Callithrix jacchus: one gene and its partners. The protein of the gene in region 1 interacts with the protein of each later gene in a pairwise test. Links are inferred from orthologs where the notes say so. Each region holds a gene or a part of one and is shown on either strand. Other genes may lie near its edges.

Region 1 (4,704 bases):
TGTTTGTTTCTAACTTTGTTACTAAAAGAAATTGAGGCCCAAGTTTTTCCTCTTTTCAACCTGAAGAACTTGCAAGCAGAAATGAAAATTTCTTTCCCCCTTTAGTAAAGGGCAGGTCTTTGATTCCAGTGGTATATTATCCTTAGCAGTGCTGAGTGGAGGATCATTCTTCCAGCTCCACAGAAGCAAGTAGAATAGACTTAAGTGAGCAGAGAACTCAGGTAAATAAGTCTGGTAGAATCTCTGAGAATTTGTTAGAATCCACAGCCACACTGGCAAATAAAACTGTTCCTAAGTAACCTCTCGTGAAAGAAGGTGCCTCACTGCTGCACTCAGCACATGGCATGGGTCATGCAATTTGTATAATGTTGATGCAAACTGAAGTTAAAGTGCATGCCTAGTAATTTGATTACCAGGCATGTCTTATTTCACTCTTAGTGCTTTTTTATTAAAATAGGAGTTGCTTATATTTTTAAGTACTTGAAATTGATTTTGTCTGTATGATACATTATACAGTGGTAGCTCCATGTCAGTATACATTTGTCCAAACCCATAGGATGTACACCACCATGAGTGAATCCTGATGTAAACTATAGACTTTGGGTGTAGGTCTGTAGGATGAATGTAGGTTCATCAGTTATAACAAATGTACAACTCTGGTGGGGGAGAGTCTTACATTTGTTAATGGGGGAGGCTAGGAAGGTGTAGGGGGTTGGGGGGCATATCAAAAATTACTCTACCTTACACTCAGTTTTGCTGTGAACCTAAAACTGCTCTAAATGTCAATTTAAAAATTGGTGATGAAGGCTAGGTGCCATGGCTCATGCCTGTAATCCCAGCTCTTTGGGAGGCTGAGGCAGGTGGATCACCTGAGGTCAGGAGTTCGAGACCAGCATGGCCAACATGGTGAAACCCTGCCTTTACTACAAATACAAAAATTAGAGGGGTGTAGTGGTGGGTGCCTGTTGTCCCAGCTACTCAGGAAGCTGAGGAAAGAGAATCGCTTGAATCCAGGAGGCAGAGGTTGCAGTGAGCTGAGATCACACTATTCTACTGCAGCCTGGGCAACAAGAGCAAATCTCAGTCTCAAAAAAAATAAAAATAAAAACAAAAATTAGTGATGAACTCAAAGGACCTTTCTTAGATGTTCAGTGTAATAAATTGGAAGGTACACCTTTTTAATCAGTATAATTTTAAAATATTTTTTATTGGCTTCATATTTTATGGTTCCTGATTATCTCTTGAAAATCTATCAAACATAATTATAAGTCAATGAACACTCTCATTGGGGGAAATAACCTCTGTCTCACACATCTGTGGAATTTATATTTGGGGACCAGGACAGCAGGAGAGAATAGGCACAGTACCTCACTATTAGGAGCATGTGGACCCAGTATCTATTGTTGCTAAGCCCAGAATGTCTGATTTCAGGAAACAGATCTTTAAATTGCTTTAAGATTTTTTTTCATTTAAATAGCTTTAAATTTTTTTTCCTTTTTAATGTATAGTCATTTAATATTTTCATGAGAAAGGAATGTTGGCCTTTTTTTTTTTCTTTTCCCCTTTTTTTCCTACTTTTCTTTAACCTTTGGTGATTTTCTTAGAGCAGGGGTCAACAAACAACAGCCCACAGGACAATTCAGCCCGCTACCTGTTTTTGTAAATAAAGCATTATTGGACCACAGCTGTATTTATTCATTACATATTGTCTGTGACTGCTTTTGTGTTACAAAGGCAGAATTGGATGGTTGTGATCAAGATTATACCACCCATAAAATCTTTCTGGCCTTTCACAGAAAAAATGGATCAACCTCTGACCTAGATGAATAGTATTTTGAAGTATCCTGATAGCTGATAAAAGCCTTCTGTTAAAATGCTGCGATCTGCTTTAAGATTTGTAAATCACTGAAGTTTTGTTCTTTGAAATATTGCAAATTGGTATGGTAGAGTTGCTTAGCAAGCAAGGAAGATAGTGTATGTTTTTAGCTAACTACTTAAGTATGTAAAGCAACTAACTTATGTCTGGGCTTTTTAATGAGTATTTTCCTTGTTTTCTTGGTGTGTGTGTGTGTGTGTGTGTGTGTGTGTGTGTGTGTGTGTTGTGTTTTTTCTTGTTGTTTTGTTTTGTTTTGTTTTGACCAAATTCTAAAGTAAGTGCATTTTAGTATTTGTGGAATTTGATGTTAAGAACACAGAGGTGCTTCTCCCTTAGCAGTTATAGCCTGGGCTTCTGATGTGGACTTTCTTTTCTTTCTCTTATTATTCTATACCCAAGACTTCGTAAACCTCAGATCATTATATATTGGCTTGCTGGAAATATATGGTTTGTATTCCTGGAATCTTTAAAGCAGCAATACAAGAGGTTTACTACAGAAGGAATTCATCTTTAAAACCTTTTAGTTGCAAATGTTTAGAAGCATGTTCTGTTTGGAAAGATTTGTTAGTCTTAAGAGATTTGACTTAACAAGCTGCATCCTGTCAGTAAAGTTGGGTAATTTCCATTGTTGGCCCATTCTGGGAATGGAGAGACAAAACACACCTGCTCTGCATGACTTAAAGCAAATATAAGGAAGTTAGCATGAAATCTGGATGAGAAAGATATGATTCATTCTGTAAGAATGGCCAGCTGGCAAGATTTCTTCCTGAGTTTGAGAACTGGAGCACCACTGTAGCTGTGATAGTTATTGGCAACTTAATATGAGTAATTAACTTCTTATCAATAATTAGAAACTGATTTTCATTGCTTTGAAAAAGCATAGGCATACTTAGTCTTTGCCAAAACGAATTCATTTTTATGCCGGTACTTTTGGCATATTTCCTGTCTTCTATTGCCCTCTTCCCACTTATTTTTTCACTTGTCACTTGTGTTTCTTTAGATGGTGAGTCAAAGTCTACAGTGGAGTGATTTCCATTTCTGCATATTACAGAGCAATTATCATATTGTTAGTATTTGGCAAAAGTTGTTGCTATGCTTCCTTAGCTGGTGTTTTGGTTATCTGATAGTAATTGGAGAACATTGTTTTCCTAAAGAAGAATGTCATATTTAGTAAGAAGTACCTGCTTTAAACATCATAGAAAAACTGTATACATTATAATAGCAATATCTTTTCCAATATCTTCATTCCATGATCCTGAGCCAATTCAACAATACGGTTTCAATTTTTGAGCGCTTGAGGCACTAACCTTGGTTGATAAGTCATTTTCTTTCTTATAGACGTTCAGGCAGTTGCTTATGAGGAACCAAAACACTGGTGCTCTATTGTCTACTATGAGCTCAACAATCGTGTGGGTGAAGCGTTCCATGCCTCCTCCACAAGTGTGTTAGTGGATGGTTTCACTGATCCTTCCAACAATAAGAACCGTTTTTGCCTTGGGCTGCTCTCCAATGTTAACCGGAATTCCACTATTGAAAACACCAGGCGGCATATTGGAAAAGGTGAGTTTTTGCTTTAACCTCTTTCAGATGTTTTCAGTTGGGTCCCTGTTCCTCCAGAGCTGACTTAAAATCATTCCTATACCAAACTAGTATAGCAAAGACCATAAGACTCACTTGCTGCAGTTTGTAAATATTTTTCCAGTTTCTTCTACCTGGAAGCTCTTGCAGTCAGTGATTTTTGTGCTCGATCAACTCTCATAATATTGAAATTAATTAGTTGAAATTATGATTTGCCATTTTAAGACTATTTTATTTGATATTTTACTACAGAATAAATTGATGGTTAAAAAATAAATTACAACCTAAAATTAAAAGCAAATTAAACTTAGTTGCTAATTGTATTTCAAATGAATACCGTAACTCAGTAAATAGAAGAGAAAACTAGCTTCTAGCACAGACATCGTGCAAGGTGGTCAAATAGAACCCTGCAGTGGTTGTCCCCCAAAAGGGACACCAAATTGAACAACTATCCACATAAGAAAGCACCTTCATAAGAACAAGAAATCAGGCATGGATATATTTATAATAAGAAAAAGTAAAGACCAAAAAGCAAGCCTAATAAGTTACCAATATAGTATGTGACTATATATCCTCAGTCTAGGCTGAGTGGAGTAGATAGCATAGGGGGAGGATTTCAAATAAATCCTGAACTCTTTCTAGTAAACTTGATTATTTCATAGCTGTGTGAGTGAAACCATTCTGAAACTTTCATATGTATTAAAAGATGAAGCAAATGACTAAATATGTGGATATTGTTTCCACTGTGGAAAAATGGACATAGAAATGCAGAAGGGAGCAAAAAATAAACCCTATGAAGGAAGATGAAGGTATCAGTGCAAAATCCTGATTTTAATAATATATATGTATATGCATATTTATGTTCTCATGTATTATGTATATGTGTATGTATGCATATGTATATGCATTTTTACATGCATATAGTTTCTTATCTGCCTGCTGAAAGGGCCCAGAAGCATACATACCCAGTAGCAATGAGCACACCTAATGTTCAGATCATCATCTCTGTCTAATACCATGTTCCACTAAAAGGAACTAGGGCTCCGTGAAGAAATGGCTGATCCCTAGGCTTGGACAGGTAGGCACAGGAATATCCTGGAGCATCTTGTTGTGGCAGAAAGTAAAGAAATAAAGAAATGCTTATGGAAATTATGGGGCATGCCTCAGGAGCCAACTTGGAGGGTCTTCCACTGGCCAACTCTCAGAGAATTTGAGCTTCAAAATAACTACACTGATGAATTTTATTTTAT
Region 2 (5,439 bases), on another chromosome or scaffold:
GACTGTCCTCCACATAAAAGCTTTTTTTCTTTTGAGAAGATGGCAAGCTTTTGCTAGGAAAAGTAAAAAATTAGGGTTAGTATTATTCTGCTGTTTGATTCTGGATATAGAAAAGCTAGTATCTGTGCTTTTTTTTTTTTTTTCGAGAAGGAATCTCACTCTTGTTGCCTAGGCTAGAGTGCAGTGGCGCAATCTCAGCTCAGCTCATAGCAACCTCCACTTTCCTGGGTTCAAGAGATTCTCCTGCCTCAGCCTCACGAGTAGTTGGGATTACAGGTGCCTGCCACCACACCTGGCTATCTTTTTTTTTTTTTTTTTTTTTTTTTTTGTATTTTTAGTAGAGACAGGGTTTCACCACGTTGGCCAGGCCGGTCTTAAACTCCTGACCTTGTGATCCACCTACCCCTGCCTCCCAAAGTGCTGCGATTACTGGCACGAGCCACCGCACCCAGCCTGATCTATGCTTTTGGCTAACATTTTTTCTGTACGGGGTGTAATGTAATAGGTAAAATAACTCATTCAACAGAAAAAACATTATTGTAGCATTTTGTAGCTAATAGGATTGAAGAACTAAAGAATTGTCTGTCTGCCAAGGTTTGGGGAAATGGGAAAATAGGAAGAGAGCTTTACCACACTGGGCACATTTCAACTCTCTGGGATTCGTTTCCTATTCCGTAAATGGAAGAGTTGGGTTTCCAGGTCTTTTTTTTTTTTTTTTTTTTGACTTTGTGTGAAGGTTTCTCCACCTCACTTGGCACTGGTCTCATTTCAAAATATTCATCTCATACTATCCTCTCTTTGCAATTCTTTAATTCATTCAACAAATATTTATTGAGCTTCTACAAGTATCATGAATAACAGAAGCAAGGTTCCTCCACACATGGAACTTATTATAGTCTAAAAGGATAGGAAAATAAATAATTTTGAAAATAAACAAATACAAATATTTATTAATAAATAATAACTATGGTTGGAAAGGTGCTAAGAAGTAAGTAAATAGGGTCATGTGTTATGTCTTCGAGTCTTAAAATGAAGCAGATAAGCTCTTTCACTTTCAAAAATGCTGACGTAGTAAAGTCATTAGGTTTCAAAAAAGGAAAAAGAAAGATAATGTCTTCCAATTAACTGATGAACGAACAGCCATTACTCTAGAATAAAATTGTATTGTGATTGATGTACTCTGTATTTTCTCGGAATAGGAGAGGAAACGCTTCTCAAAAAGAGCAGCGAGAGAAAGTCACTTAATTTTTGTTTTTTTATTTTTGTAAGTCAAGCGAAAGACGAACTGAAAATAGACAACCTGAAGTCAGACGGGAAAGCTGCCAATCTAGTCTGGCCAGCAGAATTTCGTTCAGTCGGTCTAGGCTCCCTCGGCAGTGGGAATCCAGATGTAAAGAAAACTTATGCCATGAACTTCAAGGTAGATTTCAATTATTACTGCCCAGTGGCAGGAACCTAGGATGGAGAGGTCAAGGTGTGGTTTAGTAAGAGACAGCTCCCGGGAATGGCACTTGGAAGGGCAGGGTGGAGAACAGCCGGAGACGGGACGGAGAGGAGGGGGAGAATGCGCCGACACCTCAAGGTGAGAGAGTAGACACAGTCTCTGCCGTGGGAGCCGCTCACTGCTCAGGTGGCTCTTTCCCGCTCAGGTGAGCTCCTCCCGCGTCTCCGATTGGCCGAGACACCCACGGCGCTGAGAGGGCGACGCAGCGCGGTCTAGTTCAGGGTCTAGGGCGGCGCGTCACTTCCGGTAGCGCGGAGCTTGTAAAACACCCTGGAGAGAAAATGGCGGCGGCAGCGGCTTCGGCGCCTCAGCAGCTCTCAGATGAGGAGCTTTTCTCTCAGCTCCGCCGTTACGGCCTGTCTCCTGGACCAGTGACGGAGAGCACCCGCCCAGTCTACCTCAAGAAGCTGAAGAAGCTTCGAGAGGAAGAGCAGCAGCAGCACCGGTCGGGGGGCCGCGGCAACAAGACGCGGAACAGTAATAACAATAACACGGCAGCCGCCACGGTCGCAGCCGCGGGATCAGCGGCGGCAGCGGCCGCGGGGATGGGGGTCCGGCCGGTCTCGGGCGACCTCTCCTACTTACGGACCCCTGGGGGCCTGTGCCGAATCTCGGCCTCTGGCCCGGAAAGCCTCCTGGGAGGGCCCGGGGGCTCCTCCGCCGCCCCCGCGGCTGGCAGCAAAGTGCTGCTGGGCTTCAGCTCGGACGAGTCGGACGTGGAGGCCAGTCCCCAAGACCAGGCCGGCGGCGGCGGGAGGAAAGACCGGGCTTCGCTCCAGTACCGCGGGCTCAAAGCGCCACCGGCGTCCCTGGCCGCCAGCGAGGTGACTAACAGCAACTCGGCCGAGCGAAGGAAGCCCCACTCGTGGTGGGGGGCCAGGAGGCCGGCGGGCCCCGAGCTGCAGACTGCGGCGGGGAAAGATGGAGCAGTGGAGGACGAGGAAGGGGAGGGAGAGGACGGTGAAGAGAGGGACCCGGAGGCCGAGGAGCCGCTCTGGGCCAGCCGGACAGTGAATGGCAGCCGGCTTGTCCCCTACAGCTGCCGGGAAAACTATTCGGACTCAGAGGAAGAGGACGACGACGACGTGGCCTCCACCAGACAGGTATTAAAGGACGACTCCCTTTCCCGGCATCGGCCCAGACGGACCCATAGTAAGCCTCTCTCCCCGCTGACTGTTAAATCGGCCGGCGGCAGGCTGGAGACTTCAGCTCAGGGAGGGGGAGGACTCGCGATGAATGACAGGGCGGCGGCTGCCGGGAGTCTAGACGGGAGCCGAAACCTCGAAGAGGCGGCGGCCGCGGAGCAGGGAGGAGGGTGTGATCAAGTGGACTCCAGCCCAGTTCCTAGATATCGTGTTAATGCTAAAAAACTGACCCCTCTCCTGCCCCCGCCACTTACTGACCTGGACTCAACCTTGGATTCGTCAACAGGCTCCCTTCTGAAAACCAATAATCATATTGGCGGTGGGGCCTTCAATGTGGACTCCCCCAGGATTTATTCTAACAGTCTCCCTCCCAGTGCGGCGGTGGCTGCCTCTGGTTCACTCAGGATCAATCACGCCAATCATACGGGCTCCAATCATACCTACCTGAAAAACACATACAACAAACCGAAGCTTTCTGAACCAGAAGAGGAACTTCTCCAGCAATTTAAACGGGAGGAGGTGTCCCCAACAGGGAGTTTCAGTGCCCACTACTTGTCGATGTTTCTCTTAACCGCTGCCTGCTTATTTTTCCTAATACTGGGACTGACTTACCTAGGAATGAGAGGAACAGGAGTGTCTGAGGATGGAGAACTCAGCAGTAAGTATTAAATCCTGTGGGTAAGGCAACAAAGGGAATGTTGTTAGTGGTCCGCTTTAGCCGCTCTTAGCATTTTACGTGAAGTGACTTACCTGCAAGAACGTGGTTTAACCCCAGCAGTGAGTGTGTGTGTCATCTTTCATTAAAAAAGAGCACCATTATCGAAATGATATCATATGGCTGGTTTTAAAAGTTTTCTGCATGATGTGTTGTGAAATTCAAAACAATTTATAAAAGAATATTATAAACTTGTTACTAAAACTTATTTGTATATGTGACTTAATTTTCTTTTATGCCTAAATAATTGCGCAGATGCCAATTACTCAACAGATTTGAAGTATTAGGATAAGACACACCATAAATGTAGTGTTTTTTCAAATTGAGTTGTGATTCTAATAGGCAGTGTACTGGCTCTTGACATTTGAATGAAATATTTTGTAGTATTAACTGTATGCATAAGTTCGGATTAAATATTTTGTAGTATTAACTGTATGTATAATTTCTTTATAATGAATGAATACAAAACAGCAGCAAGGCACACCTCTTAATTGATTTCCCAGCCCAAAGCAATTTTCCTATCATCTGTAAAAAAAAAATAGTGGTGGTAGGACAGTGCGCGAACTTGCAGTCAGATTTCCTTGGACTGGTTTCCAGGTCCTGCTGTTTACTTGCTAAAAATGACTGTAGGCAGCTGTGTTCACTGTAGAAATCAAAGTATCTCTGCTCTTAAACACAAAAAGAAGATGAATACAGACTGTTTTGTGTTCTGTGAAGTAAATAAGGATGAGTAATTGACGTACACAATTTTATTTTATTTTTTTCCTTTTTTAAAAAAAATTTACCACACTACACTGATGTAGGTGTACACTACTTTAGATTGAACGGAGGAGGTACTATATGAGGTGAGACCTGAAGCAGGAGGCAATCTTGTGGAGAGACAGGAGACCATTCTGGGCCGAGATTGTAAGAGGAAAGGCCTTGAGTTGAGCAAGAGCCTTCTTCTAAGTTATTGTGGTTAAGCATCTGGAGTGAAGGGGAGAGAGTAAGAGTTAAAGCTTCTGAATTTTTCTAATCTATAAAATGATGCCACTTTGACTAGAATGATGTTTGTGAAGACTAAAAGAGAAAGTAAATTAGTACAAAATGGACTTCTGAATACATAATTTCTCAATGTTAGGTCCCTCCCTGCATTTCCCTTGAAGGTTTCCTGCTCTTTTCACCCAAGTTGAATTCACTGTATTATGATTTGTATTTATAAAATTGGCTTATTAGTTTTATTTCAAAATAAAGTGAAAGATGCAGTTAGCCAACTCAGATAAAGAGTAGGAGTCAAATTAGTGTAAGGTTTGATTTAGATACAGCCAATTCCAAGACAGTCAAGTAGCTGATTATTACTCTATTGCTTAATTTAAGGGGTTACAAGAGGAATGAAATTCAGCTCTTAAATTTATTTCCCAGAAGCATGAGTGTATTGTGTCCTGCCCCAAGTATTTGGGAGGAAAAAATAAGGGCAGACTAGAAGTTAAACTAGTAAAAGTTCACATAAATTAAACTACATTACTTATCAGCAGTAGCTATCTGCATCTGCATCTGCATCTATGTCTGTAACAACTATATGATCTGGCTTCTTTTCTTTTTTTTTTTTAAATGGAGTCTCGCTCTGTTGCTAGGCTGGAGTGCAGTGGCAGGATCTGGGCTCACTGCAACCTCTGCCTTTCAGGTTCAAGTGATTCTCCTGACTTAGCCTTCTGAGTAGCTGGAACTACAGGCATGCGGCACTACGCCCAGCTAATTTTTGTATTTTTAGTAGGGAAGGGGTTTCACCATGTTGGGCGATCTGGCCATTTTTTAAGAGCTAATTGCTTTACACCTATTGTATCATTTAATCTTCCCAGCAATTCACAGAAGCAGGTGGAATTATCTTCATTTTATGGGTGAGGATGATACTAAGTTAAGAAATGCACTGAGTGTTGAACAGTTAGTGGTAGGGCTAAGATTTGGTTTCAGATTTTATTTCCACCTATAAAGACCATTTTAACACTATTTTGGGTATTGCTTATAGATAGATTTCTAAATAAGTGGATACCTTTATTATGATTAACAAGATAATTGGTAGGATTTCATACAGAATT
Region 3 (4,704 bases), on another chromosome or scaffold:
AGTGAAAAGAGTTTTTTTTTTTTAAGTGACATGCAAGGCATTTTAAACAAAGCCTACCGAGACTGGCAGCCGATCATTCCTCACCCAAGCAGCCTCCCGGCACAAAGCCAGCGCTCAGTTAACCTTCCTTGGCAAGCTGTGTGGCCTCAGAAAGTCAGTGGCCCTGTCTGGTGGCTGCCGTCTTCACGGGAACAGGTCTGAGACATCTTGAGGGCACCTGGACCTCTCTCTGGACCCACATGCTTGGGGCCCAGGCCTCAGTGGGCTCTGCAGGCCTGTCCTGTGGAGAAATGCGGCGTAACCTGGAGTCCTTTGGAGCTGGGAGTGAGAGTTGGGCAGGTGGGCGAGGACTGGGACTGCCTTCCAGGCTGAGTGGAGGGCAGTTCCAGGCCAGCCAGCAGCCGGGTTTGCTCACATCTCCTTCAAGAATGGTGGCTCTGTTCAGGTGGCTCCTGGGTCCCACCCCAGCCCCTTGGCAGAATGTGGGCCAGAGGGTCTCCCAGCTGCCCCTCCTAACTGCTCAGGGCCCCTGTGCCCAGGCCCAAGAGTCCCTCGTGAGCACTGCCTTCCTGGCACAGCTGGACCCAGGCCTCTGGCCCCTGCTCCAGACCTCCAGAGGGCACTTCCTAGCCTGGGTGTCCGGAGCCTGGAGCAGTGCTGGAATGGCCAGGGACTTGTGAGTCCCTTTATCTTGAAGCCTGCTACACACTCCAGCCCCCCAAGTCAGGAAGGATGGCCATCAGCATGCCCTCTGCAGAGCAGGACAGGGAGGGGTGGGGTAGGGAGAGCCTGGCGATGTTTCTGACCAGTGGGGACACTGAGGCTGAGTGGCAGAGTTAGGGTTCTGTGACCTGGGTTTCCCATCCCCCACCTCCCTCTTGCCTCAGAGGGCCCTTTCTTCAACCCCCGCTTCTCTGCCTGAGGCATGATGGCCAACTTGAGCAAGGAGGCTGGGGCCAGGCAGACCTCTTCCAGGCTTACAGGGCAGGGGCTGGGCCGAATCTGTCAGTGACCACGGCTTGCCGGGCCGTGGCTGGCCCTGCGGGGTCAAGTTTCCTCTCTGAAGTGGTCCTCAGGCGCTGCCCACCTGCGGCCCCTCGTCACTGGGTCTCTCTTGTTGTACCAGGAAGTCCTCGCCTTTGTCTCACTTGAGCCCTTCTTGCCGCATACGTCTTGTTCTACATGGAGGAGGGAGAGCTTGCTTCAGAATCAGATGGGCACCTGCATTCCCTCCTAGCTGCCCAGGGCCCCCTTACCAGGCCTGAGGGTCTGCCTGGGCACCTGGTAGCCAGAGCTGGGACCCAGGGCTGGAAACTTGGCCAAGGCTGGGGCAGTCTTGGCTCAGGCAGGAGAGCTGCTGGGGCCCTGCGAGGGAGCAGACCGTGGCGGCCAGCATGTGGCTGCCACCGCGTCCCCATGGGAGGAAGCGCCCACTGGTCCACACACAGACTGCGGGTTGGGCCAGGGGGCTGGGTGGAGTTTAGGAAGGAGGAAGTGGCTCCTACACGGCCAGAGATAAATGGTGTTTGAGGGCAACAGCGGGTGGTGGGGGCAGTTCCAGGCAGAGAAACGTCAGGGCAGCTGGGGGCAGTGGGAGGACAGGCTGGCACCGTCACTCTGGACCCCAAGTCAGGTGGGCAGGTGGCTTCCTGGAGGAAGCAACTCGGGTCCACCAGGCAGCTGAGGGCAGGTCGTGGATAGAGAGGCCCTGTGGGCTGTGGGCCAGTGTGGTCTCTGCCCCGAAGGGCCCAGAGCTGGGATTCTGTCCTGAGCTACTGGGGGATGGAATTTGGCCACATCCCAGAAGCATCAGGAGGGCAGCCAGGTGCCTGCGTGAGTTCCTCCTGTCGGTGGCCTGCAGCCTGTCGAGTGGCGGACATGTCTATTCCTTTGTGGAAGCAGCTATGCTGCTCCTGGGCGTGCCGGCTGCCCAGGGGCACTGCCTGGGGCTGGGTGGCAGCCGCTTCCTGGCTCCTGGTCAGGAGTTCCAGGGTCCGTCTCATGGCTCGGTTGCTGCCTTATTTCCAGCTGTGGCCTTGGGGATGGTGCTTTGGTGACAGGATTAAGTCACAGCGATGACCCTGTTGGTGGCTGTGTTGCATGAAACTTTCCAGAAAAGTCCCGTGGGTCATAGAACGCTGATGCGGGCTGGGGAGAGGCCTCATCTGCGTGTTGGGGCTTTGGCTGGGCGTATGATGCGCGCAGGCTGTGGCCAGATGTAATGGTGGTCGCCGCCCAGCCTTCCCTGATCCCTCGTAGCCCTGAGCCAGCAACAAAGCTTGGGGCTTGTCCTCAGGGTACCTGTTCTGGGAGGTGGAGGTCAGTGCTGGCGAGAACCTGAATCCCAGGCCCGTACCCCGCTGCCACCTCCCCCTGATGGTGTCCTCTCTTCCTTTCCCACAGTCAAGGAGAAGCTGCGCCTCGATCCCGACAGCGAGATTGCCACCACTGGGGTTCGGGTGTCCCTCATCTGCCCGGTGAGTTGGGGCGCACACCCCTCCTCGGGGCCTCTCTCCTGCCCGGTGGTCCTGGTCCCGGGGCAGCTTGGCTGGGCCGAGAGCCTGAGTGGCAAGGCTGGTCTTGTTCCCCTCCGTGTCCCTGAGACACGAGCGATTGGAAGGAGCCACAGGATGGAGCTGGGGGCGAGGGGCACCGGTCGGGCACAGCAGTCAGGGGTGCCCTGCTCACCCAGCTCCTCACCCGCAGCTGGTGAAGATGCGGCTCTCTGTGCCTTGCCGGGCAGAGACCTGCGCGCACCTGCAGTGCTTCGACGCCGTCTTCTACCTGCAGATGAATGAGAAGAAGCCCACCTGGATGTGCCCGGTGTGCGACAAGCCAGCCCCCTACGACCAGCTCATCATCGATGGGTGAGCCTGGGGCCCTGGGGAGGGAGGCCAGAGCCAGACACCGTGGAGGTCTCAGCGGCACCCTGCTTCCTGCAGACCCTGTGCTGCCCCAGCAAGACGCAGTAGTGAGGGCACTTGGTCCCAGAGCTCCGGGAGCACCGGGGCTGCGGAAAGAACCCATTTCTTCCCCAGGGAACTTGTCAGAGCTGTGCAGGTGCCAGGTGTGTAGCTTAGGCTGCAGAAGGTGGACTCGGGTCCACCCTTGCTCCCACATGACCTTGGGTGAGTGTGACCTTGCATTGCAGGAGTATGTATAGTTTTTGCCGAGAAAAGCTGAGCCAGGCACGGCGTTTGTACGGCGTTCCACCCCAGGAAGTGCAGACTTGGCAGACTGGGTCGGGGGTGACCTCCTCAGAGAAAGGCAGAGGAGGCAGCGGCTCCCGGAGTGCTCTGGCCACACCGCACCCTACCCTTCCTGGGTGGCACAGCTGGCCAGGTGGTCCCCAGGCCACAGGATAGGAGGGCAGGGCCTTTCTACCTGGACGGAGGCTCTCTCTGCCCAGGGCTTGTTTCCAGAAACTGAGCGTCGTTGTCTGTGGTGCCCAATTTGGCTCCTGGCTGGTGCCAGCCACGCTGCCATTTTGTCCCCAGAGCCGCTGGCAGGGTGTGAGGCCACATCGGCACGAGCTGGTGCCCTCACAGGTGGGAGCAGGCCCCGCCCAGGGGAGTGGGCCCAGCCCCCAGCCCTCAGGGGCATGGCCTCAGCCAACCGTTCAGGTAAAGGCAGGACTGGCCCACCTCCAGGGTTGTAGATTTGGTCCCCCAGTAAAGGTCCTGGGAGGCAGACCTTCGAGCCTCCCCATCTTACAGACAGGGAGATAGGCTCAGAGAAGGCAGCCAGCAGCTGGAGCCGCCCCGGCCCACAGGTGGACTGGCTGGGACTGGAACCCAGCCTGAGTCTGCTCCTCTCCTGGGAGAGCTGCATTGCCACCCCGCTGCAGGCCAGTTTCGGGTGGAGAGAGAGGCCCTGGGGCCTGGGCACACGGGCTGCCTGAATGGCCTCTCTGTTCCCGGCCTGACAGCTGTGCGGCCGCTGCCCGCCTTCCCCCACAGGCCTGAGCTGGGCTTGGGCTCTCGGCTCCAGGGCTGGCAGGGCTGGGCCAGGCAGCCGTGACCCACGTAGGCCTTGGTCTCAGCAGCCACCGGTACTCCGTGTAGCCAGGGAGGCTTCCTGAAGGAGGGCTCCTTGGTTCATACATTTCTCCATGAGGCCTGTCACCTGTCTGTCCCTAGCCCTGAGCTGGGTGACCCCAGGGTTCCCAAAAGAGTCATTTCCCAGACCCTGCCTTTGGAGAGCCTTGCTAGGGGCGGATGGAGGAGCAGAGCCAGGCATAATGTTCCTGCTGCTGTGCCTGTCAAGGAGGGGAAGGGACGCTGTGGGATGGGGTTTCAGAGGCTGAGTAGGAGTTTGCAGGCAAAGAAGCAAGCAGGCAGAGCTGGTCCCATGCCTGGGATGGCCCTGGCACAGTGAGCTCTGAGCATTGCCTCAGGGTGAGGGTAGGAGGGGTGGGCGGGGCTGACCTGGGTGAGAGGAGTCCCATAGGCCTCAGAGGGTGGCCCAGAGCGTGAAGAGGCCTCTTCTCCTTGGTGATGAGAGTGACGCTGCCGCAGGCACCTGGGAGCCGCTGCAGCCTTGACAGTTACAGGCCAGCCTGCTCTGTGATACGTGGCCCTGCCTATACCTGTGGGCATGGGGGGGTCTCCCTTCAGATGCCCCCGTTGGCCACTGCACCCTTCCCATTCTGCAGGTGGGGAGACCGAGGCCCTTTGGCTAGGATGCCCCAGAACCAGGGCCTGC
Region 4 (5,478 bases), on another chromosome or scaffold:
GAGGCTGGAGAATCGCTTGAACCAGGGAGGTGGAGTTACCGTGAGTCAAGATCGTGCCACTGCACTCCAGCCTGGGCAACAGAGCGAGACTCCCTCTCAAAATACGAAAAAAAGAAAACAAAAACAAAAACAAAAATTAGCTGGGTGTGGTGGTGCGCAGGTGTAGTCCCAGCTACTCCCCAGCTACTCGAGAGAGGCTGTGGCTGAAGGATGACTGGAGCTGGGGAGGCAAAGGCTGCAGTGAGCGGAGATCACGCCACTGCACTCCAGCCTGGGTGACAGAGCCAGACCTTGTCTCAGAAAACAAACAAAAGACACCTAAGGATAGTGTTGAGGATTGTATCCTCACCAGTCTCTGTGTGCGCGAGGATGGGATCCTAACTTGCATAATCATCAGCTAGCAGACATCGCTGACCTAAGTGCATTTACATTGACTCATTCTGTAAACGTTCACTTCCCTGACTCTACCGACCCTCTGTCTCACCGCCCCCGAACCTCGTTTTCCCTGTAAAATATCCATTACTTGCATACAAATTGCAGTTGAGTTCGGTTCCTGCTGGAGTTTGATTCCCTATTGCAGTAGTTATTGATTGAAATCTGTCCTTTCCACTTTAGTGACCCGCTTTGTTTACCTTTGACAAAGTTCATCATTTTGATTCAAGACATTGTTTCCAGCCCCTGCTATGGAGTTACATTGAGAAGAAAAGCCCTGGAATTTAGTTTCATCCCTAAACTTTCAGTGGATTTTTTCTGCTGCTTAAGAGGTGGGCAAGGGCCGTTGACAATAAGGAAATTTTCAGACGTGTCTAAGGTCCCACAGAGAGTGCTTGATCCACCCGAGCTATCACAGCCCACGGGGTATACACAGTGTATTCTTTTTTTTTTTTTTTTTTGAGACAGGGTCTTGCTCTGTTGCCCAGGCTGAAGTGCAGTGGTGCGACCTCAGCTCAGTGCACCTCCCTACCTGGTTCAAGCGATTCTCCCACCTCACCCTCCCAAGTAGCTGGAGTTACAGGAGTGTGCCACCATGCCCGGCTAATTTTTGGTTTTATTTTGTAGAGACGAGGTCTCATCCTGTTGCCCAGGCGGATCTTGAATTCCTGGGCTCAAGTGATCCTCTTGTTTTGGCCTCTGTTCTGGGATTACAGGCATGAGCCACCATGCCCGGCCCAGATTCCTTTTTTTATTCTGGGCTTAAGATTCAGTTCACCGGTTCTGGCTGTGTGAATGGGTATATCACGACTTCACAAGTCCCGCTTTCCTCTTTACGGAACGGGTCGAATAATGCCTGAGCAGTCACATGGGGCTGCTCTGAGGACTATAGATGCAAGAAACCCTGTGTTCACTGATATATTCGCGTGGGCTTTTTGATAATGATCCGAAAGAAACATGAGGATTATGAATTCTCGGCCCCGCGCGGTGGCTCACGCCTGTAATCCCAGAACTTTGGGAGGCCGACGCGGGCCGATCACCTGAGATCAGGAGTTCGAGACCAGCTTGGCCAACATGGTGATATCCCGGTCTCTACTAAAAACACAAAAAGTTAGCCGGGCGTGATGGCAGGCGCCTGTAATCCCAGCCACTCGGGAGGCTGAGGCACAAGAATCGCTTGAACCCGGGAGGCCTCGGAGGTTGCAGTGAACCGAGATCGCGCCACTGCACTCCAGCCTGGGCGACAGAGTGAGACTCTGTCTCAGGGAAAAAAAAAATTGTGACGTCTCGCTCAGAATCAGCGTCTTTAAGTGGCCACCTCCCCACCCCACCCCCATGCCTCCCTCCTCCTTGAACTGTGTGTTAGAGCACTGCGATCTGGTCCAAACTCCACGGAGATGTGTTGCGAAACGACGTGGGGCAATTCCAACTCTTCGTCTGGGTCGCCACCTAGGATTACTGCACTTTCAGTTACGACCTCATCAACATGGCTGTTGGAAGTCGCCTACAGGAAAAAGAAGTGACACTGAAGGATCACTTCCGCTTCCGTTGGCGCAAGCGCTTTCATTTTTTTCTGCTACCGTGACTAAGATGGAAGCGTTTTTGGGGTCGCGGTCCGGACTTTGGGCTGGGGGTCCGGCCCCAGGACAGTTTTACCGCATTCCGTCCACTCCTGATTCCTTGATGGATCCGGCGTCCGCGCTCCACAGAGGTCCGATCACGCGGACCCAGTAAGTTCTCGGCGCTTTCACTTGCGAAGGGGGAGGGATCGTTGGTCCTGGTGCTGCCCGGCGGGTTTTGAGAGCCCGGGAAGGTGAGGCGGGGACCCCGGAGGCGCGCGAACATACGGGAGTTACGGGCGCGGAGTCCTGGAGAATACAGAATCATTGAAAGTAATTACAGAAAATCAGAAGCGGAGCCCAGTGCGCGGAAAGGCGGCGCAGGCCATCTCCCCGCTCAGCTCCCACCATTCTCTCTCCAGAAACCCCATGGTGACCGGGACCTCAGTCCTCGGCGTTAAGTTCGAGGGCGGAGTGGTGATTGCCGCGGACATGCTGGGATCCTACGGCTCCTTGGCTCGTTTCCGCAACATCTCTCGCATTATGCGAGTCAACAACAGTACCATGCTGGGTGCCTCTGGGGACTACGCTGATTTCCAGTATTTGAAGCAAGTTCTCGGCCAGATGGTGTAAGTCATCCAGAGAACGGGAGAGTGGTTCCCAAGTAGGGAGGATAGTCCCTGTTTTTCATTCCCTTCGACGGCATGGGGGTACTTGATGTTGCAACGGGGCACTGGGAGAATTGTTGGGGGTGGCTGATCCAAGAGTGTTTGCAATAAAGTTTTTGGCATTAGGAGGTGTAAAATGGGGGAAGGTGTGGTAACTTCTTTTGGGGATGGGTGGAGATCCGGATTTAAGTCTCTCCCTTTTCTCACAACCAATTCCTTTTAAGGATTGATGAGGAGCTGCTGGGAGATGGACACAGCTATAGTCCTAGAGCTATTCATTCATGGCTGACCCGGGCCATGTACAGCCGGCGGTCGAAGATGAACCCTCTGTGGAACACCATGGTCATCGGAGGCTATGCTGATGGAGAGAGGTTCATACGAATACAAATAACCTATTTCCTTTACCACCCAAACTAGTGCCTGTGTAGTATCTCTTGTCTCTTTTCCCCAAGTGAATCCCACTTTAACTTAGGCCCCATGGTCCCCTTCTTCAGCTAAGATGAACCTAAGGTGAAATGAGTTTTGACCCATTGTGTCCTGTTAGCTTCCTCGGTTATGTGGACATGCTTGGTGTAGCCTACGAAGCCCCTTCACTGGCCACTGGTTATGGTGCATACTTGGCTCAGGTAAGCAGTGAGTTGAGAGGCGGGAGCAAGGGGAGACAAAAGGGAAAATGTATTAGTGGTTGCTTATTTTTCTCCTGAAGTTCTGAAATGACAGGCTGGGATCCCTGCTGCTGGGCAGATGGTTTTCTTTGTAGTCTGGGGGCTGTAGGTGTTGACACTTAAGATTCCAGTGACGAGATGGCATGTCTGGGACTCGGTAGACATGCAAAGAGAGGACACCCTAGAACTTCCCCTTCAAGTGGCTTTTAGCTTATTATTAGTAAGCAGAGTTCATTCTGCAAGAGGTAGAATGTCATCTTTTCACTCTTTAATGCTTTTTATACCATTGACTTGAGACAACTAGCTTGTTATTCAGCCCAGTATCTCCCATGGTTCCCCTCCCAATCTCTCTAGCCTCTGCTGCGAGAAGTTCTGGAGAAGCAGCCAGTGCTGAGCCAGACCGAGGCCCGAGAGCTAGTAGAACGCTGCATGCGAGTGCTGTACTACCGAGATGCCCGTTCTTACAACCGGGTGAGGAATGTGCTGGGAACCTAATTGGCAGACTCTTGGATACTTGCAATCCCTGGGTCTCTATGCTTTGAAGAACAGATTGCCTCACTTGTGCGACTATTTTCAGATTGGGGAAGACCTCCACCTGACCTTTAAGGACATAAGGGGTGGGCATTACTGAATGCTCTGCTTTCTTCCAGTTTCAAATTGCCACTGTAACTGAAAAAGGTGTTGAAATAGAGGGACCACTGTCTGCAGAGACCAACTGGGATATTGCCCACATGATCAGGTGAGTCTTAGGAAAAAAACTGGTAGCAGATTTTGGGAGCTCTTTGGCTTGCACTGAACTGGACTTTTCTGGGAGGCTCACCCAGGAAAACTGTCTGGATGGGAGAGGGTTTTGGTTGGACAGTGCAGCTATTTTTGGGAATTGATCCCTTTAGGCTTCACAATTTTATTATTCTTTCTTTTTTAGTGGCTTTGAATGAAATACAGATGCATTATCCAGAACGGAAGTTGTACCCTACTTTTAACTTTAAACTTGGCTGGTTCAGACTCTTCTTTTGTAAACTAAATAAATTCTTCAAAATACTTGCTGAGTAGTTTTTGTCTGACTGTGTCACAAGTGCAGAACTGCTGAGTAGTGCCGTGTGGCATCTCCCTCCCTGGTCGGAGAACCCTGAGGCTCTTGTAGCAAATACAGAATTCTCTGCACAGTACAGAAAGACCCACTAGCATCTTCCTTTGGGGCTATATTAGAAGCAGCTTCCTATAGAAGCCAGATTTAATTTTTATGTGCTAACTGGCTTTTGTGTTCAAATTTTTCTCCCAAATCTTCCCCTACTGCAATGTATTATCAAAGAATACAGATTTCTTAATGTTGGCTGTGGTTTTCATTGAAATGCCATCTTAGAGACCGTCTAGTAGAGCTGCTCTGCATCAGGTTGCCATCCCTGGAATGGTTCTAAACCTGAATATTTTAGAGACAAGGTCTCATTCTGTTGCCCAGGCTGGAGTGCAGGGGCATGATCATAGCTCACTGCAGCCTTGAATTCCTGGGCTCAAGCAACTTCCCGCCTCAGCCTCCCAAGTGCTGGGATTACTGGCATGAGCCATCATGCTCAGCCTGAATTTTTTTTGTTAATTTCAGCCCAAATTTTTAAAATGAACACTGTAGGTGAGTCTGACATGTATCCTCTCCAAACTTCAGCAAATTAAAAGTATTATAGAAATTCAGTGAGAGCTGAAGGGAAAACCAAACCATCCCTCCATTTACATTGTCCATAACAACAAACTCATAAAGCAAATGAAAACCATGAGCTTTCAATCTGACACCTCAACACATTCAGTCTCAACACAGAAAATAGTCAATAAATACATGTTTATTGATTAAACTGAATTATAAAAAACAAAAAAAAAAAGTTTCCTTCTACTACTAAGCCATGCAGGCAGAGTCCACAAAGACAACTTCCTGGCCAAAACCCAGCTGATCCACTGTTAAGATCTTAAAAAAAATTACCCATCAAGAAAGTCAATCGTGTGCAGAGGACAGGAACCCCAGCTCTGCTAAGGCTGTGGCTGCTGCGGAGACTACCAAAGGGTAGGATTAGGTTGTTGTAGATAGAATTGACCAAATCATAGTTCTTGAACTTTCTCAAAGGCAAAGGCTGACTTCAAAGTCCACAGTCTGTCGATAAAATGGCA

What was found.
Region 2: the proteins of SMAD1 (region 1) and LEMD3 interact in binary tests that used the Homo sapiens proteins (3 or more experiments, as listed by UniProt). The link is inferred for Callithrix jacchus from reciprocal best matches to the Homo sapiens genes SMAD1 and LEMD3.
Region 3: the proteins of SMAD1 (region 1) and PIAS4 interact in a two-hybrid assay, tested with the Homo sapiens proteins (2 studies listed by BioGRID and IntAct). The link is inferred for Callithrix jacchus from reciprocal best matches to the Homo sapiens genes SMAD1 and PIAS4.
Region 4: the proteins of SMAD1 (region 1) and PSMB4 interact in binary tests that used the Homo sapiens proteins (3 or more experiments, as listed by UniProt). The link is inferred for Callithrix jacchus from reciprocal best matches to the Homo sapiens genes SMAD1 and PSMB4.

Annotation. Positions count from the first base shown.
Region 1 is NC_133504.1:51,457,964-51,462,667, reverse strand, and holds part of SMAD1 (mothers against decapentaplegic homolog 1), read left to right. Parts: intron 1-3,214; coding exon 3,215-3,436; intron 3,437-4,704. UniProt on the Homo sapiens protein: Transcriptional modulator that plays a role in various cellular processes, including embryonic development, cell differentiation, and tissue homeostasis.
Region 2 is NC_133510.1:54,091,449-54,096,887, reverse strand, and holds the start of LEMD3 (inner nuclear membrane protein Man1), read left to right. Parts: upstream 1-1,771; 5' UTR 1,772-1,785; coding exon 1,786-3,307; intron 3,308-5,439.
Region 3 is NC_133523.1:3,787,042-3,791,745, forward strand, and holds part of PIAS4 (E3 SUMO-protein ligase PIAS4), read left to right. Parts: intron 1-2,403; coding exon 2,404-2,477; intron 2,478-2,706; coding exon 2,707-2,867; intron 2,868-4,704.
Region 4 is NC_133519.1:11,300,335-11,305,812, forward strand, and holds PSMB4 (proteasome subunit beta type-4), read left to right. Parts: upstream 1-1,996; 5' UTR 1,997-2,022; coding exon 2,023-2,162; intron 2,163-2,413; coding exon 2,414-2,620; intron 2,621-2,883; coding exon 2,884-3,030; intron 3,031-3,203; coding exon 3,204-3,285; intron 3,286-3,678; coding exon 3,679-3,795; intron 3,796-3,974; coding exon 3,975-4,063; intron 4,064-4,249; coding exon 4,250-4,262; 3' UTR 4,263-4,363; downstream 4,364-5,478. UniProt on the Homo sapiens protein: Non-catalytic component of the 20S core proteasome complex involved in the proteolytic degradation of most intracellular proteins. This complex plays numerous essential roles within the cell by associating with different regulatory particles.